Linked DNA regions of Arabidopsis thaliana. The protein of the gene in region 1 interacts with the protein of each later gene in a pairwise test. Each region holds a gene or a part of one and is shown in the gene's direction. Other genes may lie near its edges.

Region 1 (5,546 bases):
GGTTTCTACTTTCTACCACTAAGATATGTAACATTATTACTCTTTGATCATATTCACTAATCATTTCGATTGTCATAACATATATCACCAAAACTCATTTGCGTTTTTAAGTTTTTAATGGAACAGAGGCACACCAAACTCATTTGTGTTTCGAAGTTTTTGCTGTTCATGTTGGAGGTAGACTCAAAGTTCTTCAGGACTTAGCTCACTAGCTGACTCTGCATCCCCAAAAGGTCGCTGTATGGTTTCAGAATAGACGAGCCAGGTCCAACACCAAGCATTACGTTGGATGCCGGTTACGAGTCTCTTGAGCCTCCTCCCTATGGACAGAACCGCGTCCTTCATCTTTCTTTACAACAGCTCACATGGTGTCACTGAAAACTGGTTTTCTGCAGCTGCAGGAGAACCAAGTATTGATATGGAGACTATAAAAGCAGAGCCATAGTGTCTGATTAAACGAAGCAGAGCCATAGTATCTGATTAAACTACAAATCTGTATGATCCCTTGGTAGTTGAAATAGTAAAAGCGTGAAGGAAGTGATCAAAGACATTTATCAAAATGTGTTTGTAAGAATGGTTGAGAAAAGGAAATATATCTTTGAGAGCATGGTTTTCGGTGATGAGAACTATTGGAAATAGTAACACAATGCTTAAACACACAGACCATCAATATATAAATACCACCCTCTAGTTGGAGAGTGGTCAAACAGAAGCCAATCTAAACACGATGCTTGTGTAGTTAACATTACTACAGCTAAAGATAATGAGAAGCTTCCTTTAACCAGAGATAAGACAAAAATTGAAATTGCAACCAACTCAATGCAAAGCCATATCACTTCTTCTTTCGGCAAGAAGATTATCTTATACAGAACCAAGATTAATCGTCCTAGTAAAAAGCAAATCTTATGTCTCTGATAGGAATCTATCACATACTAGGTACAAAACCCATCGATAGAACTAAGAGACTAGTCTATTTGTAACCTATGAGTGACTATTTAACAGCCTCATGAGTCATGACCTCAGAAAGCTAAGGAGAAATTCTCAAACTATATTAGTCAAGTGCAAAAGAACCAACGGATGTTATAGAAATTCCAAGAAGGCTTGTTCGTTTACATCCTCATTGATCTACTTGAAAATTTTATTCTAAAAGGCAAGATTCATAGCTCTTATAGCTCACTCTTGACCTTAGCATCCCCATTTGGTAACACACTTTGCGTTTGAGCCAACCGTTTTGCTTCCTGAATTCAAATGAAAATAAATTTATCACCTTGACTAACTATTGTAGAAACTATCTCAGATGAGAAACAAAGGAACGTCAACAACTTACAGCAGCATAACTAGCACGTATGTCTCTATACCGATCGACTTCATCAGGAAAAGCCTGTTCAAGCTCCTCCAAGAGATGTTTTCTCAAACCCTGTACCAAACAATGTCGACTTTAAAATCATGAGTGGCCAAATTGAGAGAACCAGTAGAGCAAAAGGAGTCACCTTAAAAGCATCACTCTTTCCCTTTGTAACTTGATTTTTAGCAATGCAGTTCTTATTAAGAACATCTTTTGTAAACTCATCTGGGTTCTTCCCATCATCAATCAAGCTACAACAAACAAAGATATATAAACATAAGAGAGCAACAAAAATTCTCTAAAGAGTCTAAAAAGGGACTTGTTCTCACTTAAGAACCTCAATGGGGACTTGAATGTTGCATTTATCAGACAACTTAGCCATATTATCAAGCTCCATCACAAGAGAATTGCTGCAGATAGAGACAAAATTTCAATCACACAATACTCAAAACAATGGATCAATAGAGAAGAAGAAAAGTTACAGGCGTTGGAGGAGGTGAAGCTGAGAAGCAGGTGTGAAAGAAGAGACGGTGAGTTTTAATTGATGAAGGAGTTCTAAAATTTTCTGATTCGAGTTTATAATTTGGTTCAGCTTCTCATTTGAATCGTCGACGGTTGCAATTGCATTGATTTCGGTTTTTATCGAACCGTTGATTTCACCAATTCCGGCGATTGTGTTCTGTGTTTGATCCATCACCGAATAACTAGAAACGCGATTAAAACACACACAAATTAGGGTTTTGAATCACGGAAACATAGAGGTTGAGGGAAACAATTTATGTAGAGATCAATTCCAATTGACACAACTGGATGAAATTTCTGGGAACGATGAAACCCTAGGACCACCGACGAAGAAGAAGAAGAAGAAGAAGAAGTTCAGAGAGCGTACATGGATGGATTTGAGAAGAAGATCACAGGCGCAAAGTCAAAGTGGTCAAAAGAAAATTAACAATCGAGTTTTGAATTTGTTGTAGTCATTAATGGGCCTTTGGGCTTTTATATGGTTTTCAATGGAGTTAAGTCATGTCCATTTACGGTTACTTAAACTAATGGGTCTATTGTTTTGAACTTTTGATTTTAAAAGGTGGAGATGGTTCTGAATCTCTCTGGTTAAGTATCAATCCATGAGACCTTTTTTTTTTTTTTTTGAATGAATGTGTGAAATTATATTCAACTAAAACAACTGTTTTACAAATCAAATTCAACTAAAACAACTGACAAATTAAATCTCTCTGGTTAAGTGGTACATTTTTAATGTCTCTAGTCTCTACACATAAACGATTAACATGAGAGTTCACCAAATCTTTTCCAATTGGGTTTGTTCACTTGGTTTCGTTGGTTTTAATCTTCACAAATAAAAAAATGGTTTTAAGTAAATAGAAAGAAAAAAGAAAAGAAAAAAAGAGTAATCGAAGGAGCTGTAATCTTCACAAAGAGCACTTGATTATAACATTGAATCTTTTGCAAAAAAGATAAAAATCTTTTCAAGAAACTGATCCATCCAAAATACTATCTTGTCTTCACTCTTCAAAATTCCTGTCATTACTCTCTCGAACCCTTTCTCTTTTCGAATCTCCACTTTTTTTTCTATCTTCTGCTTCTTCTTCTTCTCTCTTCAATGATTCCACTCTCACAAAATCTCCATGACTACAAAACGCATAGACAGAGATCTCCCATCTTCCGACGATCCTTCCTCCGCTAAACGCCGTATCGAATTCCCCGAAGAAACACTCGAAAACGACGGTGCTGCCGCAATCAAACTCCTTAGCTTACTCCTCCAATGCGCCGAATACGTAGCTACTGATCATCTCCGTGAAGCTTCAACACTTTTATCCGAAATCTCCGAGATATGTTCTCCGTTCGGTTCCTCGCCGGAGCGAGTCGTCGCTTACTTCGCTCAAGCGCTACAAACGCGCGTGATCAGCTCTTACCTCTCCGGCGCGTGTTCTCCCCTCTCCGAGAAACCACTCACTGTTGTTCAGTCTCAGAAAATCTTCTCCGCCTTGCAGACTTATAACTCCGTTAGTCCTCTGATCAAATTCTCACATTTCACGGCGAATCAAGCCATTTTTCAGGCGCTTGACGGAGAAGATTCCGTTCATATCATCGATCTCGATGTTATGCAAGGTCTTCAATGGCCGGCTCTATTTCACATCCTCGCTTCACGTCCTCGAAAACTCCGATCAATTCGAATCACCGGATTTGGTTCCTCCTCCGATCTACTCGCTTCAACTGGCCGGAGACTCGCCGATTTCGCATCATCGTTAAACCTCCCTTTCGAATTTCATCCAATTGAAGGCATAATCGGAAACCTAATCGATCCGAGCCAACTCGCAACGAGACAAGGAGAAGCTGTGGTGGTTCATTGGATGCAGCACCGGTTATATGATGTTACAGGGAACAATCTCGAGACGTTGGAGATTCTACGGAGGCTGAAACCGAATCTGATCACGGTGGTGGAGCAAGAATTGAGCTACGACGATGGAGGAAGCTTTTTAGGAAGATTCGTGGAGGCTTTGCATTATTATAGCGCGTTGTTTGACGCGCTAGGAGATGGATTGGGTGAAGAGAGTGGTGAGAGATTCACGGTGGAGCAGATTGTTTTGGGGACGGAGATAAGAAACATTGTGGCGCACGGAGGAGGAAGAAGGAAGAGAATGAAGTGGAAAGAAGAACTGAGCCGGGTCGGGTTTAGACCTGTTTCGCTTCGGGGTAACCCGGCGACACAAGCGGGTTTATTGTTGGGTATGTTACCGTGGAATGGATATACTTTGGTTGAAGAGAATGGAACCCTCCGTCTTGGCTGGAAGGATCTCTCGCTTTTGACTGCCTCTGCCTGGAAATCTCAGCCGTTCGATTGATTTTATTTTTATTTTATAATGCAAACTGCAAAGTGATCATTAAGATTTTTTGTTTTGAAAATATTTCCAAACAAATTACGATAATTACGATAAAAAAAAGTCTTCATTGACGCAAAAAGTTGTTGATATTGAGAATGAGAAGGTTGTTGATACTAAAAATGAGAAGGTTCATGTTAGATAACTATATGCATAAGAGAGGTTCTTGTTAGATAACTATATGCATAAGAGAGGTTCATGTTAAATAACTCAATAAGCATAAGAGGTTATGACTATACACATATCTGTTAATAAAGTCAGCTACAACAAATAGAAGGTCTAATATCATAGACGATACCACCATGAAAAATCATCATTTCTCATAGTATTCATGAAAAACATCAAGTGGAATTTTTATGAGACCATCAACTTCTTACATTTAGTGAAACTGGTTTTTAATTTGTTCCTTCAATTCTTAAATCAAATCTAGAATTCATACAACTTGAGATTCTTAGAAAATTCAGGATACTTGTCTCTTTTTTCTTCTTTTTTTGTACAATTTTAAAAGAAAGATGTAGTGCAAAAGCCAAAAATCGAAAACAAAAACCAAAAACTAACAAAATAAAAATAAAATGACAACCATTCTTTTTTTTGGGGGGGGGGGGGGAGGAGGGGAGGGGGGGAAAGAAGAAAGAATGACCCAACTGTATGAAGGCCCATTAAAAAAGTGGGCCCAATTTCTATAAACGACCTTCGACTTTTTCAATAATCAATTTTCATCCAATTCAACTCAGGAAATTGCTATGATTTTACTCTGAGAATCAGAAGAAGAAATCTCGGTGAGCAAAATCCCTAGTTTTGGGATGATGTTTCCACGACTACGATTGACGAAGGTCTTCTTCTCCCCGATCATCGCCGGGAAATGGATCGTCTTTGCCGACGGTAGCAGCGGCGGCGGCGTTGGTAGAAATGGCTACTACGGTGGATTGTGGTCGTCGGCCGTTATTCCTTCCAATGTTGGTTTAGCTGTCGCTGTCACCGTCATGGCCGTGGCCGTCGCTTTCACCGTCTACTCTCGTAGGTATACACACAAAAACGATCTGATTTATGTTCTAATCGATTTCTTCAAAGCAAAGAAGCAATGCTTGTTCACTACTTAGTTAAGTAGTTATTTGGTATCCATAGATTTGATTGGTTCTTGCTTCTTTGTTACCTCACCAATTCGAGGCTGGATCGTCATGCCTTTAGGTTCGAAGAATTCTCTGTTAGTTAGGTTATTGTGATTGAGTTCTTGGTCCAATGTTAGCTGCTAACTCGTACTTCCACTACCTCTTCTTGTCATGGAACTTGTAAGACTCTCAGGC
Region 2 (6,520 bases), on another chromosome or scaffold:
TATGTGGTTATAATAACTAACCAGTATTTTAATAGATTCGATTTGATTTATGATGCTCTTCGCACCATCAAAAGATATAAAATTCTACTTTGGCAAAGTTATGTTATGCTCTGTTGTTTCGTTAATCATCCCGCTCAAGTTTTAACAGATTACAAAATCCATCTCAGGTGCATCCGCTGCGGTCGTAGGATTAATAGCTGCGAGCATATTTTGGTATGTATACCATCGTAGAAAAACAAAAAGTTACAGAAATTCTTCAGCATTGCTTCCAAGAAACATCTCATCAGATCCATCTGCAAAGTCTTTTGACATCGAGAAAGCAGAGGAATTATTAGTCGGAGTTCATATTTTCTCTTACGAAGAACTTGAAGAAGCCACTAATAACTTCGACCCATCTAAAGAACTCGGTGATGGAGGCTTTGGTACTGTCTATTACGGTAAGCTTAAAGATGGACGAAGCGTAGCCGTTAAACGGTTATACGATAACAACTTCAAAAGAGCAGAGCAATTCAGGAATGAAGTTGAGATCTTAACGGGTTTACGCCATCCAAACCTCGTGGCTCTCTTTGGATGCTCCTCAAAACAGAGCCGGGACTTACTGCTAGTGTATGAGTATGTTGCAAACGGCACGTTAGCTGATCATCTACATGGTCCACAGGCAAACCCTAGCTCACTTCCTTGGTCTATTCGGCTCAAAATCGCTGTTGAAACTGCCTCTGCCTTGAAGTATCTCCACGCCTCCAAGATCATCCACCGTGATGTTAAATCCAACAACATCCTTCTCGACCAAAACTTCAATGTCAAGGTCAGTAACTCACACTGGTTATTACTCAATCTGGTGGGATTTTATCGGATCATAATCTTAACTTCTTTCTGTGTTTTTTTTACTGTTTTCGACATTTTAGGTTGCGGATTTTGGACTCTCTAGACTGTTTCCTATGGATAAAACGCACGTATCTACCGCTCCACAAGGAACTCCGGGATATGTCGACCCGGATTACCACTTATGCTATCAACTCTCAAACAAAAGCGACGTGTACAGCTTTGCGGTAGTGTTAATGGAGCTTATCTCTTCACTTCCAGCAGTCGACATCACAAGACCGCGCCAAGAGATCAACCTCTCGAACATGGCAGTCGTTAAAATCCAGAACCACGAGCTCCGCGACATGGTGGATCCGTCACTTGGGTTTGACACGGATACAAGAGTGAGACAGACGGTGATCGCTGTCGCTGAGCTGGCGTTCCAATGCTTGCAGTCGGATAAAGATCTTAGGCCATGTATGTCGCACGTGCAGGATACGTTGACGAGGATACAGAACAATGGATTTGGTTCGGAAATGGATGTTGTAGATGTGAACAAGAGTGGACCGTTGGTTGCACAGTCTCCAGATAGTGTCATTGTGAAATGGGACAGTAAGTAAAATTAGTCGCACGGCCACTAACATTGTATGTGTTTATTATTTGTATGTTTAAAATTGTCAGTTAACAGTTAGAGAATGGTGTTCGTGTTCTGTATTAGATGATATTTTTGGGAATGTATATAATGATGATCTTGTTCCGATTCCACCTAGAGAGGGACCGTAACATACAAAACTTCGTGATTGGGCCTGACCGGACTAAATCAGCAATTTTGTATTGCTATTTGCTGCCAACTGAAACTATTTTTTTATTAGTGGTTAATTTTATTTTTTTACGGAAAAGGTAAAAATATTTGAGACATCAAAATAATGATGGTAATTAAGTAACGCCAGCTCAGCGACGGCGATGACTATCCACCAATTTAACGTCAGAAGAATATATATATGTATATTGAGCTTATCTTCTGTTTCCAATGTAAGTGGAAAGTCCACTGCTGCAATCACAATGTAAGACCTGCATCTATGAAGTTTTAATGAAAGACACTTTCAGAGAAAAAAAAAAAAAACTTCTGTTTCCAAAATTTCCTAATTAAAGCACACCAATTTGGGCATGGATGCTTTACTACTTCTATTAATGAACAAGTTAAAGAGTAAGTTGTCTTGAATGAATGAAATTGCATGTGAATCAAATCCCTCCACCATACATAATAGATAATCTATAGTAATGGCCCAACTAAACATTGACATTTGTTGCAACCTAACTCTTTCCTAAAAGGAAGAAAAAAAAAAAAAAAAAAAAACTCTTTCCTAAAACTCAATGTGTTTGATCATCACAAGGACAAACAAAGGAAATCTCTAGTATGCCGATTAAAGTGAAAATTTGTCTTCACCAATATAAATAATTTGGTAACTTAAACTTTAACTAAAGATTCATAAATTGGCGTCAACTTATGTAAAAGAACCTTCATATATACTTTCGTTTATCTCCCTATATTTTTATACATACACATATTTATAGTATTTTTGTCGATTAATTGGCATTGGCCATTTGGAAGTTATAATTAAGTTGGCAAATGGATGTGATCTCTTACCCTATACACCTACATAAAAAACCCTCCATGCAAAACATTAATGGATGTTTTCATTAAAACAAGTTTTGATATCAACTTAGTTTGACTAGCTACATCCATTTCAATATTTTCTTCCCAATATTAATAATAAATTTAAAGATAGACCACTAGTTCTTAACCTCACACCAAACTGACTAGAAATGTTCTTCCCCCTTGCAAACAGAGAAAGCCTAATGGAACCCACGACCAAACATTGGTCCTACTTTTCCTTGTTTGGACATATCTCCCCGACACACAAATCCCAGAACGTTCACTTGCCCACGTGGCTCTCCCTTTATTTCTCTCTTTTTCTTTCTTAATTTTCTCCACATTTCTTTTTCTAAAATCATAAATTAAATTAATAAAAAAATCCAATCGAACAATATAAAAGTCTCAAGTTTTGTATCAACCAGTCTAAAGAAGTTGTCAGAAAAAAAAAAAAAAAAAAGTGTCAAGAAGATCATATCTCAATTCATTATATTATGGCAAATTTCGAGAATCTTTCTTCTGATTTTCAGACAATAGCCATGGATATATATTCTTCCATAACTCAAGCTGCAGATCTAAACAACAACAACAGTAACCTTCATTTTCAAACATTTCATCCTTCCTCTACTTCTCTCGAATCGCTCTTCCTTCATCATCATCAACAACAATTACTTCACTTTCCCGGAAACTCTCCAGACAGTAGTAACAATTTCTCTTCAACTTCAAGTTTCCTCCATAGTGATCACAACATCGTCGATGAGACCAAGAAGAGAAAAGCTTTGTTACCTACTTTGTCTTCATCAGAGACTAGCGGCGTCTCCGATAATACGAATGTTATTGCCACTGAAACAGTAATTGATCTCGAAACCCTAGCTAATTATCTTATCATTTTCATAACTTATCATTAAAAAGTTCGTTTAAAATAATTACTTTTATTGTCTAAAAAATATCTAGGGTTCTTTGAGAAGAGGTAAGAGGTTGAAGAAGAAGAAGGAAGAAGAAGACGAGAAAGAGAGAGAAGTTGTTCATGTGAGAGCCAGAAGAGGCCAAGCCACTGATAGCCACAGCTTAGCAGAACGGGTAAAATTGCTTAAATTGTCTATATAAATTCATTTTTTTTATAAACGTGGTGTATTCATTTAAATTTATATACATGTCTACACTCTATATCAAAATTTCAGGTTCGGCGAGGGAAAATAAACGAGAGATTAAGATGCTTGCAAGATATGGTGCCCGGATGTTATAAGGTAATAATGCAAAGATAAATATAATAGTTTAACATTTTCAACTTTTCATTACTTCTTTTTTAATATATTTGTAATCAAAATAGAAACTAATGGCCATTAAACAATAAATAGCATATGAAAAGGTCATCATCGGCATTAATTGTCACTAATTATACTTGAATCAAATTTAAGCATTTTATGATAAAAGTGATACTTTTAGTTAAACAAGAACATATGTATCCAAAAGTATTTTTAACATGCATGAGTGTGATTTTAGCTTTTTTCTTTGATACCGCTCATAATATTTTCCGAAAATTGTTCTTCGGATTTTTTTTTGTTTTTTTTGTTTACAAAGAACTCAGAAAAAAAATTGTAGAAAAAGTGATGTGATTTTCTATTGATTTAGTGGTGCTTACTTCTTATAATGAAAGTGTATGTTTGGTGGGTGCAGGCTATGGGAATGGCTACGATGCTTGACGAGATAATTAATTATGTCCAGTCTCTACAGAATCAAGTCGAGGTAAATAATTTAAGTTGTAATCATAAACTACATATATCAATAAGACTTTGTCTTCTTGTATTTTGGAGAAAGAAAAAAAAAACTAGAAAATGGAGGTTTCATGAGATGGGAGGTTCGGTAAATACCTACTTTAGTAGTACTTTCCGAAACACGGCAAATCTTAGATATTCGAAAATTACAAAAAAAAAACGAAAATCTTACCACACACTTTAAAAAACTTCCAAAACACAAGCTTTAATTTTATAAATTACTCAATTTTGTTTCATGTTTTTTGTGGATTTCAGTTCCTCTCGATGAAACTCACTGCAGCAAGTTCGTTTTATGACTTTAACTCAGAGACAGATGCAGTTGATTCCATGCAGGTACTAGAACATTCTAATAATGTTTTTCAATTCTTAAGATAAGCATATATATAATTAATTAGTGGTAGTCTGGTAGAGATGTTGTAATGGGTCCGGTATGTTTTGATCGAGTCGGTTCTACAAAGATTTATTCAAAAATACAAGTGTTTGTAGTTTAGATTCAATCTTATTAGACTATAATATATGATCACGCGGACTATATGACCCGCAATTAAAATATGTTCGACAGGTCAAATCCAGCCTTTGCATAATTGATCTTGTATGGTTTATTGGTTTAAGTAGTCTCTTTTTTTTTGGCATTATATTTGCATGGTTTAAGTCTAACTAGTTGTTGTTATGACAATTACTTTATTTTAACGTGATAAAGTATTTCTATTAGTATTGAATAATATGAATGGAATACAATTGGCAGAGAGCAAAGGCACGTGAGACAGTGGAGATGGGGAGACAAACAAGAGATGGGAGTCCTGTCTTCCATTTATCAACATGGTCCCTTTGACTTTTGTTTTCTCTTTTCTCTTTTCCTTCTTTTTTATTGTTTTCGAAATTATTCTTCTATTTATTTGGATGCGATATGTCATATATACGACCCAACTTGGGATAATATTTGTAATCTGTATACTTGTAATTTCGACGATATAAATTTATTGGTGACTTATAATTGTCATGTAAATATCTCAGTTGTCCTCTCCCTTTTCGCTTTGCTATTTCGTTTGCTTGGCACCTTTTTCCTTTTCCTCTTATGTAATTGTCCTCTTAAGTTATGAAATGATCAGAAATAAAATTCAACAGAATTTTTTTATTTTGTTTCTGCAAATGAAGTTATAAATCATGGATGAATTAGCTCATATGTCAAAGTGTTGATGAGTGAATTGACGATGATGGGAAGAGAGAAATCAATTGTAAATTGTATATATTACCAAATCTTCAATGAAATGTGATTAGTCTTTATAACAAAAAGAAATGAGCGTTACCAGTCGGTTTAAATATTGATTTTAGTTTATTAATTTTAGGGTCGAGAGTTCTTAGTCTGATTACAGACATGCATGTGCTTTTGATGTCTAGAGTTCCACTTCACTTTCCTACGTAAAGTGGGTTAAAAACGGCTTCGGCTATAGAATTACTAAAAATGAAGATTAGTTTATAATATAAAACGATATGTTCTTGTTAAGGGATTATATTTCCATTCATATGTAATTTGCTTTTGGTTACTAAAAACATTTTCCTTTTTCAGCGAGAAAGGCATAGTTACATATACGATAAACTGGAAGAGGCAAGTTGCGCAAGGTTTGGTAACGAAGAGGAGTTATGGAACCAAAGAGACTTTGTCGGTGTAAATTAACAAAAACACCCTTCACTTCTGTAGCTTTCCAAAGACAATGATGTGTGTCTCCCAAACCAAAAACAGAGACAAAATAGTAAATTGTGATGCGAAGCCTATGGACGTGTTTTACAGACGAACAACCAATCTCTTGAGACTTCCTTCCTCTTTTGTGGTCTCTCTTATTATCCATATATGAATATCTCTTATATATTTCATATTTTTTTCAAAAATAATTCTAATAGCGACGGTTCACTTCACAGGATCTTACGGATGTTGCCTATTCATAATCTTTATGATTGATAGAACAATTCAGATATTTGTATGATCGTATATATAAAGAAAGTGAGGGTATAATAATACACTTTTGTCTTTCTGTTATTCTCTCTATACATGTTTCTTTATTTCTGATTTTTTTTTTTTATTATAATTTTTTTTATGACATTTTGGACACTAGCTAGTACTCATTCCATATGCATGGCAGGTCGTAGCCGAGGTTTAAGTTTTATCTTTGTAATGCAGGTATTACGTAATTTACCCGAGATTAGTATGGTGTAGATGGCTTATGATAAAATCCTTACAAAAATATTTCGAATATAATATTAATACATGATAGATATGTTTATACATAGGTTC
Region 3 (5,703 bases), on another chromosome or scaffold:
TCTGGAACTCACGCCGTGGAATCAGAATTAAAACGGCTCCAGGACGAGGCGGTTACATCAGAAACATAACCTACAAAAACCTAACACTAGACAATGTTCGGGTTGGGATAGTGATCAAAACGGATTACAACGAGCATGCAGACGATAATTATGATCGGAAAGCATACCCGATACTTTCGGGATTCAGTTTCGCGGGAATCCACGGACAAGGAGTGCGAGTGCCGGTCCGGATCCATGGAAGCGAACAGATTCCGGTAAGGAATGTGACGTTTCGGGACATGTCCGTTGGGTTAACGTACAAGAAGAAACATATATTCCAATGTTCGTTCGTGAAAGGACGAGTGTTCGGTTCGATATTTCCTCGACCTTGCGAGAATTTTGATGTTTACGACGAGGAAGGTCGTCTGGTTAAGCCTGCAGCTGAGTCCAATGTGGCGGACATTGACTACGACATTTGAATGTTTTTTCAGTTCATTGTCATTTGTGTACATAAAAGTAAATTTTGGGACACAAAAATGAAAATTATTTTTCTTTGGACCATTTCTCTTCGTCGTTGGGGTTTTCTCATTCTGATAAATAGTTGTAATTTTAATTAAAGTAATAAATATAAATATTTATCACAAATAGGTCAACTAAAGATAATTCGTTGATGAACAAGCAATATATTAGAACAAAGGAGTTAAGTTGCTTTATTGATCGAATTAAAGAATAAAATTTGGATGAATACAGAACTCAAACTCATAAATGTTGTTGAGGTTCATAGTTTTGCAGTAGAATGCTTAGAAAAATCAAAATCTCCATGTTGAGGTTATTAATATTGAAAGCACGTGTTGTTGTATTCGACTCAATTACTAAACTCGCATGTTAACGCATGACACATGATAATATCGGCATATTCAGTGAACCAGGTTGGTTCATGATCCCTTCCAAAGCGGACTCACACCTTAGACTCGGAGCTCACACGCCAAATCGCTCGGCTAGGTTTTGATAGCCAACTCCGGCCAAAAAACCAATCGCGAGAATGTGGTTTTTGATTGACCCAACTCACATTTTGACCTAGCACGAAAACCAAACACCAACATGAAATAAGATAAACTATTCAAAATATCTAGTTTTATATAAAAATCTTAATTTAATGTCACGAGAAGCATGTTCGCACTACTAAAGTTAATTAGCACAGTTTCGAACATTTATATATGTATATTCTGCAGAACACCGACGACTCCAATAATGGTCACGACTCACGACCCATGTGGAGTAATAGTTTTCCTTCTTTTTTAACATTTATAAATTTTAATATTTATTTTCGAAAGGCTAACAAACGCATGCGTACCTTTACATGAAACAAAAAGAAATTGTAGAATAATATTGTTTGAACATTTCTAGATATTCATGTGCATATTGTTCAAAACTTGTGTATGATTGTATCATTGATTGTTACATAAGTATTTGTTAAACAAATAAAAACTATACAACGTGGCTACGTATCAATCTATGCTTAGCAAAGTCAACCATGTAAATTTTGTAAGTATTACCTTACTCTAAGAAAATAAAACCCTAAACGAACAGATAGGCTTGCACCTGTATAATATATTAGACATTACAAGTCTCTACAATGTTGGTTTATCATTAACAAGGACTAAACAATATACTATAATCATACAATAAATTAAGAGTCGTAAATTAATGGTAAACTCAACTAATGCATGAATAGTTGTAAAAGTATATATATTTGGACACGTTACTCAACTTGCATCGCGGATCTGTATTCCTTCCCAACCACTACGTACACGCATTTCCCACGAGTTTGACGATCTTTCTCGTTTAATCTAATCATATCTACTTTTATAGGCTCCATAGCCCACATTTCATATCTTATAGTACGTTCCAACTTCTAACCAATAAACTCAAAACTAGTTGAGTTTTTTAATTAGTGAAATATATCTTGAATTTTATATATCTAATCTTGCACCAATAAAGTTTCTGTCAATTATGTAAAAGAAAGACTCGTTGTATCAGTATGGGACGACTTTTTCTTCTGAATTGTGTCGATCGAGTCCATATTATAATACTTTGTCACGTACTTTGTTTACTGATTAATTTAATATAATTGTGTCGCATTATCCAAGTCTAATTAAACATTAATGTGTATATTATACACCAAGTTACAATTACAGATCTATCTCTTAGTCGTTTTATTATGTATAGCCTACAATGAAACATGACATCAACGTATAGGTGAAGCTGAAGCCTATACATAAAAGTAAGGTTTTGGAGTTTGTTTCATGTTTTAAGGTTTTAGATATTTTGTGATCGATTTGCATGTATAGGGTTCCAAATATCTGAGCTTTGGCTTGGTCTACTTTGAGAAAGCAGCTGTAGAGATCAACTTTAGCCGTTTAGGTGATAAAATCACATTAGAACTCTATAGGTCGCGTAGCAGCGTATAAGAGCCCTGGATACTGAAATACAAGAATCTCTCCACGCGTAGAAAAACGAACCAACCATGATAAAACACGTGTCATATCGAATAGGTACAGACAACGTGCACTTGCCAACCTTCTTTCCTTGTAGTTTCCTTCTTCTTTGCTTCTTTTTTTCGTTAAATATTGATATTGTTCAAAAAACGCATAACAACAAAAACGTGGTCGACGGAACATGTGGGTGGTGGAGTTGTCTTCTTTAGGGGACCACTCACTAACGCCGTTTACTTTCCCGCTTGGACGATAACACCCTTGATATATGGATTAGTCTCTCTTTTGCTTTTGGATATCTTAATATATTTTAATATGTCCATTTTTATATTGACGACCATTTAATTAGGTCTCAGTTTGTATTATTGATTTTTAGGTGCCAAGCATTACTTTCGTTACGTGTAATCTTTTGATTATTCAATCAAATTATCATATGGTTCATGGCATTTTATCAATTGTGACGGTCGACATGTGGGTTGACTTTGATGTATGACTTTTAGCTTGTGCCTCATTTTTATTCCAACTCGACAACTAGCAGACTTTATATTTTAATTTATTTCTTTCTAGATATTAGACAATTCTTAGCTTGTCTCTCTGCATGAATCACGCGTTAATATACTTATAATAGTAAGTTTTAAAATGTTTCGAGTATAATATCATATTAGATTTCAATTATAATTGTAAGATTATTTAGTCTCAATGAAGAGCATTTAAAAATGTGAAAGAGTTTAGGCTTTGACTGTTGACTGGTTCTAACGCGTTTTGCTTCTTATTTATACAAAAAGATTTTATTTTATTTTAATTAGAAATATTAAGTACTTTTTAGACGTGTTTAGGTTGATTAATTTCTTGTTAACATATCCGATAAAAAAAAACAGCACCAAAATCACGACGAGAATTATGCCTACGTTACGTTGATAATAAAGATTAGAGATAAAATGTAACCTCTCTTCTCTTTACATCATTACATGCATCTTGTGTTTTATTTGACTTTATTCTTACCAACAAACAACCAATGGATAAATTAGGCTCGTGAAGGAGGGCAAACTCGTAATTTCAAAGAAACGGAAAGCGTCAGAACGTGGAGAACAGTGAACCGAGACACATTCCCGATTTTTCTAAAGAAACAAAATAAAACACGTGTTTTTTATACCATAAGTAAAGTAGTAGTATTTATTAAACTATTAATATATAGCTTTGTTATATTGGAGGTAGGAAGAAGAACTCTGCAACCAAACCAACCAACCCCAAAGCCAAACAAAGTTTTATAGAGACCTTCCATTTCTCCCTCTCGTGACAAACGCAATTTGCAGAGAAGCAACAGCAACAACAAGAAGAAGAAGAAAAAGATTTGAGATTACTTTGTATCGATTTAGCTATTCGAGAAACTCTTGCCGTTTGAAAGTTTTAATTGTTAAAGATGTCGAGTTCTATGGAATGTTCTGAGTTCGTCGGTAGCCGGAGATTTACTGGGAAGAAGCCTAGCTTCTCACAGACGTGTAGTCGATTGAGTCAGTATCTAAAAGAGAACGGTAGCTTTGGAGATCTGAGCTTAGGAATGGCATGCAAGCCTGATGTCAATGGTAAGAAACCTTCTCTTTCTCCTAGATCCACTTCTTTTTTCGTTTTCTCTGTTTTTTATTTCTTGAATCTTGATCTTGAAAACTTTTCAAGAAAATTTTGAATCGATTTCAAAGAAATTAGGGAGAGTTAGTTTGCTAAATTTTGACATAGAAAATGATTGGAGAGAGTTCTAACTTTTGGATCATATATATTTGCAGGAACTTTAGGCAACTCACGTCAGCCGACAACAACCATGAGTTTATTCCCTTGTGAAGCTTCTAACATGGATTCCATGGTTCAAGATGTTAAACCGACGAATCTGTTTCCTAGGCAACCAAGCTTTTCTTCCTCATCTTCCTCTCTTCCAAAGGAAGATGTTTTGAAAATGACACAGACTACCAGATCTGTGAAACCAGAGTCTCAAACTGCACCATTGACTATATTCTACGCCGGGCAAGTGATTGTATTCAATGACTTTTCTGCTGAGAAAGCCAAAGAAGTGATCAACTTGGCGAGCAAAGGCACCGCTAATAGCTTAGCCAAGAATCAAACCGATATCAGAAGCAACATCGCTACTATCGCAAACCAAGTTCCTCATCCAAGAAAAACCACAACACAAGAGCCAATCCAATCCTCCCCAACACCATTGACAGAACTTCCTATTGCTAGAAGAGCTTCACTTCACCGGTTCTTGGAGAAGAGAAAGGACAGAGTTACGTCAAAGGCACCATACCAATTATGCGATCCAGCCAAAGCGTCTTCAAACCCTCAAACCACAGGCAACATGTCGTGGCTCGGTTTAGCAGCTGAAATATGAATGCTAACCACCCTCAAGCCGTACCAAGAAATTCTTTTGACGACGTTGCTTCAAGACAAGATATAAAAGCTCCTATCTTCATGCTTTTTGATTTAAGATACAAACTACTCAATGATTAGGAAACTTCATATATTTGTATGTATTGATTAGTGATCAATTATTGTTAGTATTCGTTATAGTCTGTTTTTCTACTAGTTATTGTCGCCTGTCTAAATCCCCTTGCTATGGGTTATCTCAAAATTAGTTTCGTATGTAACTAATTTTGTAAGAACAATAATTTTTGTTGACGAACCATACTATCAAATACTCTAAATTATATCTTGATAAATCTACCTATCAGGTAAGTAGGTGTGTTTTGTTTTCATTTGTTTACTTGTTACCTACTAATCTCATATTTTATGATTCAAATTCAAACCCGTGAATTATGAGTTAGTAGGTAGGTTTAACAACATGTCAACAACTAAAGAACAACGTGACATCTAAACCAAACCAAAACTATAGAGAGTTCAGAGTAGTCGTAGTCTCGTAGAGATCATTCATATAAATAAATCGCATAAACACCAAAATCAACTCTTAATTCTTTCCTAATCATCATTAATCTCTAATGGATTCCGAAATCGCATTCGACTATTCTCCGAGGTTTCGTATATTCAAGAACGGTGGCATCGAACGCCTCGTACCCGAAACATTCGTCCCACCGTCACTAAATCCCGAAAACGGCGTCGTATCTAAAGATGCCGTCTATTCACCGGAGAAAAACCTCTCTCTCCGCATTTACCTCCCTCAAAATTCCGTCTATGAAACCGGCGAGAAGAAAATCCCACTACTCGTCTACTTTCATGGCGGAGG
Region 4 (5,638 bases), on another chromosome or scaffold:
AGAAATTACCCGTATAGAGAAAGTTTCCGAAGATCAATCATTGGTTTATTGCAATGAAAATGATATTAGAACAAAGGGTTCTAATCATGCGGTTGGAATCTTACACGAAGCTATAATGGCGAATTTGAATGCGTATGATGATATGGAAAAAGCCCTTGATGAATCTAGTGTAGATTTAACAACTCCTGTGGTGTGTAAGATCTTACAAAGGCTTCAATACGAAGAAAAGACGGCTTTTCGGTTCTTCACTTGGGCTGGACATCAAGAACATTACTCACATGAGCCTATTGCTTATAATGAGATGATTGATATATTGTCAAGTACTAAGTATAAGAATAAGCAGTTTAGGATTGTGATTGATATGCTTGATTACATGAAGAGAAACAACAAAACCGTTGTTCTTGTTGATGTTCTATTGGAGATTCTCAGGAAGTATTGTGAGAGGTACTTGACTCATGTTCAGAAATTTGCCAAGAGGAAACGGATTAGAGTGAAGACGCAGCCTGAGATTAATGCTTTCAATATGCTTCTTGATGCTCTGTGTAAGTGTGGTTTGGTTAAGGAGGGTGAAGCTTTGCTTAGAAGGATGAGGCATAGAGTTAAACCTGATGCGAATACGTTTAATGTCTTGTTCTTTGGGTGGTGTAGGGTGAGAGACCCTAAAAAGGCAATGAAGCTGCTTGAAGAGATGATTGAAGCTGGACATAAGCCGGAAAATTTCACTTATTGTGCTGCTATTGATACTTTCTGTCAAGCTGGAATGGTGGATGAGGCAGCTGATTTGTTTGACTTTATGATAACCAAAGGCTCTGCTGTTTCTGCTCCAACCGCAAAGACTTTTGCTTTAATGATTGTGGCGTTGGCAAAGAATGATAAGGCAGAAGAATGCTTTGAGCTAATTGGGCGTATGATAAGCACGGGTTGCCTTCCTGATGTCTCGACATATAAGGATGTAATTGAAGGTATGTGTATGGCTGAAAAGGTAGATGAAGCGTACAAGTTCCTGGATGAGATGAGTAATAAAGGTTACCCGCCTGATATAGTCACATACAATTGCTTTCTTAGGGTATTGTGTGAGAATAGAAAGACCGATGAAGCACTTAAACTTTATGGAAGAATGGTAGAGTCGCGTTGTGCTCCTAGCGTCCAAACATACAACATGCTGATATCTATGTTTTTCGAAATGGATGATCCTGATGGAGCATTCAATACATGGACTGAAATGGATAAAAGAGACTGTGTTCAGGACGTTGAAACATACTGTGCTATGATCAATGGGCTTTTCGACTGTCACAGAGCTAAAGAGGCGTGTTTTCTACTGGAAGAGGTTGTGAACAAAGGACTCAAACTGCCATATCGAGTGTTTGACTCTTTCTTGATGCGTCTATCGGAAGTTGGTAACCTCAAGGCAATTCATAAGGTTTCTGAACATATGAAAAAGTTTTACAACCATAGTATGGCTAGGCGTTTTGCACTCAGTGAGAAGAGAAAGAGTACAAAACTCAGAGGGAAGTAATGTGAACTGAAAACTGTTGGACCATATCATCATACTAAAACAAAGAACCATTTTCAGTGGTGCGATGATTCTGTTGCCTAGAGAGGAGCTCTTCGTGACTATGATCCCTGGTGAAATTTCATCCATCACAGTCTCTCTAATTCTGGACCAATAAGCATGGTTTCGAAAGCAAAGATACCTATCCAGGTCTATTGTCTAATGGTTATGTTGGTTTCTTTGAAAAGGCTCTCACAGCTCACAATATGTTTAACGTGTTCGTTTAAAGTCATTGTATTGACCATTGCATACATAGAGATAGAGCCGAACTTTGTATGATCCTTAGCAATGTGAGAGGCTTGTTTTCCTTATGGTTCATGACTATTATGGTTTATCTTCTGCTCTTGCTCTCTGATTCTCGAGTTTGATGTGAGATTCTTGAAACATTATGATGCTAGAACAGTGTCGGTTCATCGTTCAGTTCTGGTAACAGGTTCAAGTCTCAGGAACTCTTGCTGAAGAAGTCTAAAGACATGACACAGTTGGTCTGTCAGCCTTTGGTGATGAAGTACCCATACAGTTGTAAAATAAAAAGCCCACTGGTATATAATATTTGACCGGTTTAGTGTAATCAGGATCCGGTTTAGTTGAAATAGGTCATTTTGCGACGAAAATAGGTTAAGTTTAGTTATGATAGGTTCGAAAGTCGAAACTGAAGAAGGCTTCTCTCCTAACTACCGATAGAACAAATGAAGTTGATTATTGGCTTTCTTTCCCAACTAACTCTCTGTTTTATTTTATTTTCCTACTAAACTTTACCAGCAATTATTTTGGTTTTTGCTTACAGATTTTTTTTTTTTGAAGAAATGTTCTAATTAGTCCCACGGAACATTCAATGTAACTGATTCTGTTTTTAGTCCTGAATGTCCGAAACCTATAAAGTTCCGTTTTGGACAAGAGAGACGTGCTTGGAGACCAAATATTTGACCACCTTTTTTATTTGTTTACGACTAAAATGATTGACCACATGAGAATAAAATTTTTGCTAATATATTTCATCACTTGATTCAATTGTATACACCTTCTATTTTATTTACAGTTTATAAGAAAATACCCATTGTAAAATTGCAAAGAAAAAGTTAGTTGTATTGTCTCCACTTTGGACGATATATTCCTAATTAAGGCTTAGAAAAAACGTTGATTAGGTCTGAAAATATTTATCTTTAATTATTATGGACGATATTTGATACATGAAATAAATTTTTGTCAGTGTAGGATATCGATATTTATTATATGTGAATACGTAGCTTGCCAAGATTACAGAAACGTAGATGAGTATTGGTGGCTTGAAGTAGCGGGTGTAGGTTAGAACTTAGAAACAACAAACCTTAAATTAATACTATACGAAGAGACGTTGAGAGGCTAACGAAATCCTGCCCACACCAAGCAATCTCTAGTCTATGCTCTTATTTTCTACGATATTATATATTCTATAATTATTATAACTAAATAAAATCCTAGTTGTAAAATAAAGGAAAGAAAAAGGTAGATTACGTAGAAGGGGGTGTTTTGTTGGTTAGGGAAGACGTTGGCATCAGTCGCCGGTAGAGAGGTCCGTCCAAACCCTCCCGACTCTCTAACGGATTTTGTTTTATTTTATTTTAATTTTCATCATATAAAATGTATATATATATATATATATATATATTTTCTTTTGGTAAAGACATAAAATGTATATTAGACGAAAAAAAAGAAGAAGACATAAAATGTATATTATATATATACTCGCAATAATATAGACTATGTATATATATACGTGCAGGTGCTCTTCAGCTTTCTTCTTGTTCCCACATACCCATCTTCCCCAACCTTTTCCCAAGAAAAAAAAAACTTAGGGTTTTAATTTCTTATATATGTACATAAAATACATGAACACAACAAATTTTTTGCGTGCGTTATTGATATAGAATCTGTGTGTTTTTCTTTTTCTTTGTTCTTGTATTGGTTTGGATCGGTATACTTAGTTAATTACGTAATTAAATAGATCGGCGTGAAGAAGAAAAATGATCATGTGCAGCCGAGGCCATTGGAGACCAGCTGAAGACGAGAAGCTCAAGGATCTTGTCGAACAATACGGTCCTCACAATTGGAACGCCATTGCTCTCAAGCTTCCTGGTCGCTCTGGTAATTGATATCTTCTAGGGTTTGTCCATATATACAAAACTAGCTAGGGTTAATTTTGATACTTTGATATATATATACATATGAATTAATTGTATTGGTGTATATATGCAGGTAAGAGTTGTAGATTGAGATGGTTTAATCAATTGGATCCAAGGATCAACCGAAACCCTTTCACGGAAGAAGAAGAAGAAAGACTTTTAGCGGCTCATCGGATCCATGGGAACAGATGGTCCATCATCGCAAGGCTTTTCCCTGGAAGAACTGATAACGCCGTCAAGAACCATTGGCACGTCATCATGGCTCGTCGCACACGCCAAACCTCTAAGCCTCGTCTTCTTCCCTCGACGACTTCGTCTTCTTCTTTAATGGCGAGTGAACAAATCATGATGAGTTCTGGTGGTTATAATCATAATTATAGTTCCGATGATCGGAAGAAAATATTTCCAGCAGACTTTATAAATTTCCCTTACAAATTCTCTCATATCAATCATCTTCACTTCCTAAAGGAGTTTTTCACCGGAAAGATCGCTTTAAATCACAAAGGTAAACTCAAAATGATGGAGAAGGATCCATTTTCTATAGATGTGTTTGCATGTATATGAGTCTTGCACGGATTATTGATGAAAAAGGTATATATGTTCCAAAATTTTGAAATGAAGTTTAGCCGAATTTTTTTACTTTTCAAAGAGTTTAGCCGACTTTTTCATTTGCATAATCATTTTTCTAATGAACTTCAAAATTATGTGACAAAATTAGTTGCATGTTTTTTCTTGTACTCATCATCATATATTGTTTCCGTCATTACATGAAGTCATCTCTATATATTTAACATAGTTGCAATCCACATAGCTTATAATTTCGTCCTTCTTTTATCGTTTGGATCGCAGCAAATCAGAGTAAAAAGCCTATGGAGTTCTACAATTTTCTACAAGTAAACACAGATTCAAACAAGAGCGAGATTATAGATCAAGATTCAGGTCAAAGCAAACGCAGTGACTCGGACACCAAACATGAAAGTCATGTTCCATTCTTCGACTTTTTATCCGTTGGAAACTCTGCCTCCTAGGATTAGTTTTTTTGCAGTAACTCCTAAATTTCTAGATTAACTATTTAGTCCGTATACGTACGAGATTATCTAGGTCGTTAGCATGTATGCTTGATGTGTATAATCACTAACTAGTGAGCTATTACCTGCGAAAATTGTAAGAAAAATACATAATGTTGATGTATCACACATTCTCAATGTCTGTAAAATTTCCATCGAGTTGTTAACTATCAAAGTTATCCGTTTGAATGTATTTGTTTAATTTGTCTTGAATGAGATGAATAACATGTTTAAATGTTTAATTCTGTTACCAACAATTTAATTATATATATATAACGATTAATTGCTAGTTTGTTTCTTATTAAATTTGTATCATATTTATTCAACGTTCAAACAAATCACCGTTCAATTGTTTATGCATAACCCGATCATGAACTCGACCTCGAGAGGCCACAATATTATCAAAATTTGAAAGTATATATGTACAGTTGAAATCTTATATCGTTGAGATTATAACATGAAAAAAATCCAATGTTTGATGAAGAAGCAAAAGGTGTTGGAAAACTCTTTTTACTTCTTACTTTCCTTAATCGTTTTCTTACAACAACACAACCATTATGTAGTTCTTGTACTTAATCTAATTAGAAATTTGTTAATAACCAAGACCCACCCTTAATTGGGCCTTGTTCACCTCTGGGCCCAATGGCCTTTTTCTCTCTTTTCCTTCACTCTTCTTCTTCTTCTTCTTCTTCTTCTTCTTCTTCTTCTTCTTCTTCTTCCTCGTGCATACCTTGCTGTAGTTCCCTCTTTTCCTTCACTTGCTCCCTCATAGTTCGAACCCGTGCATACCTTTTAATTTCTGTTGAATTTCTCATTGTCTTTGGTATGGTCCTAATCTCAATACGTCTCTGTTTCTC

The links.
Region 2: the proteins of AT5G41920 (region 1) and BEE1 interact in binary tests that used the Arabidopsis thaliana proteins (3 or more experiments, as listed by UniProt).
Region 3: the proteins of AT5G41920 (region 1) and JAZ1 interact in binary tests that used the Arabidopsis thaliana proteins (3 or more experiments, as listed by UniProt).
Region 4: the proteins of AT5G41920 (region 1) and MYB54 interact in binary tests that used the Arabidopsis thaliana proteins (3 or more experiments, as listed by UniProt).

What each region holds. Positions count from the first base shown.
Region 1 is NC_003076.8:16,776,994-16,782,539, forward strand, and holds AT5G41920 (GRAS family transcription factor), read left to right. Parts: upstream 1-2,649; 5' UTR 2,650-2,988; coding exon 2,989-4,206; 3' UTR 4,207-4,431; downstream 4,432-5,546. Other genes in the region: AT5G41908 (uncharacterized protein), read left to right, coding at 290-445; MED10A (Mediator complex, subunit Med10), read right to left, coding at 1,167-1,238, 1,328-1,417, 1,491-1,596, 1,675-1,755, 1,828-2,039; AT5G41940 (Ypt/Rab-GAP domain of gyp1p superfamily protein), read left to right, coding at 5,046-5,263. UniProt on the Arabidopsis thaliana protein: Probable transcription factor involved in plant development.
Region 2 is NC_003070.9:6,328,515-6,335,034, forward strand, and holds BEE1 (BR enhanced expression 1), read left to right. Parts: upstream 1-2,883; 5' UTR 2,884-2,949; coding exon 2,950-3,306; intron 3,307-3,409; coding exon 3,410-3,535; intron 3,536-3,636; coding exon 3,637-3,702; intron 3,703-4,132; coding exon 4,133-4,201; intron 4,202-4,485; coding exon 4,486-4,563; coding exon of another isoform or gene 4,564-4,605; exon of another isoform or gene 4,606-4,975; coding exon 4,976-5,062; 3' UTR 5,063-5,342; downstream 5,343-6,520. Other genes in the region: AT1G18390 (Serine/Threonine kinase family catalytic domain protein), read left to right, coding at 149-805, 906-1,421. UniProt on the Arabidopsis thaliana protein: Positive regulator of brassinosteroid signaling.
Region 3 is NC_003070.9:6,618,418-6,624,120, forward strand, and holds JAZ1 (jasmonate-zim-domain protein 1), read left to right. Parts: upstream 1-3,359; 5' UTR 3,360-3,414; intron 3,415-3,502; 5' UTR 3,503-3,894; coding exon 3,895-4,057; exon of another isoform or gene 4,058-4,255; coding exon 4,256-4,854; 3' UTR 4,855-5,203; downstream 5,204-5,703. Other genes in the region: AT1G19170 (Pectin lyase-like superfamily protein), read left to right, coding at 1-458; AT1G19190 (alpha/beta-Hydrolases superfamily protein), read left to right, coding at 5,459-5,703.
Region 4 is NC_003070.9:27,598,297-27,603,934, forward strand, and holds MYB54 (myb domain protein 54), read left to right. Parts: upstream 1-3,296; 5' UTR 3,297-3,555; coding exon 3,556-3,676; intron 3,677-3,787; coding exon 3,788-4,219; coding exon of another isoform or gene 4,220-4,278; exon of another isoform or gene 4,279-4,563; coding exon 4,564-4,742; 3' UTR 4,743-5,021; downstream 5,022-5,638. Other genes in the region: AT1G73400 (Pentatricopeptide repeat (PPR) superfamily protein), read left to right, coding at 1-1,516. UniProt on the Arabidopsis thaliana protein: Transcription factor that regulates secondary cell wall (SCW) biosynthesis, especially in interfascicular and xylary fibers.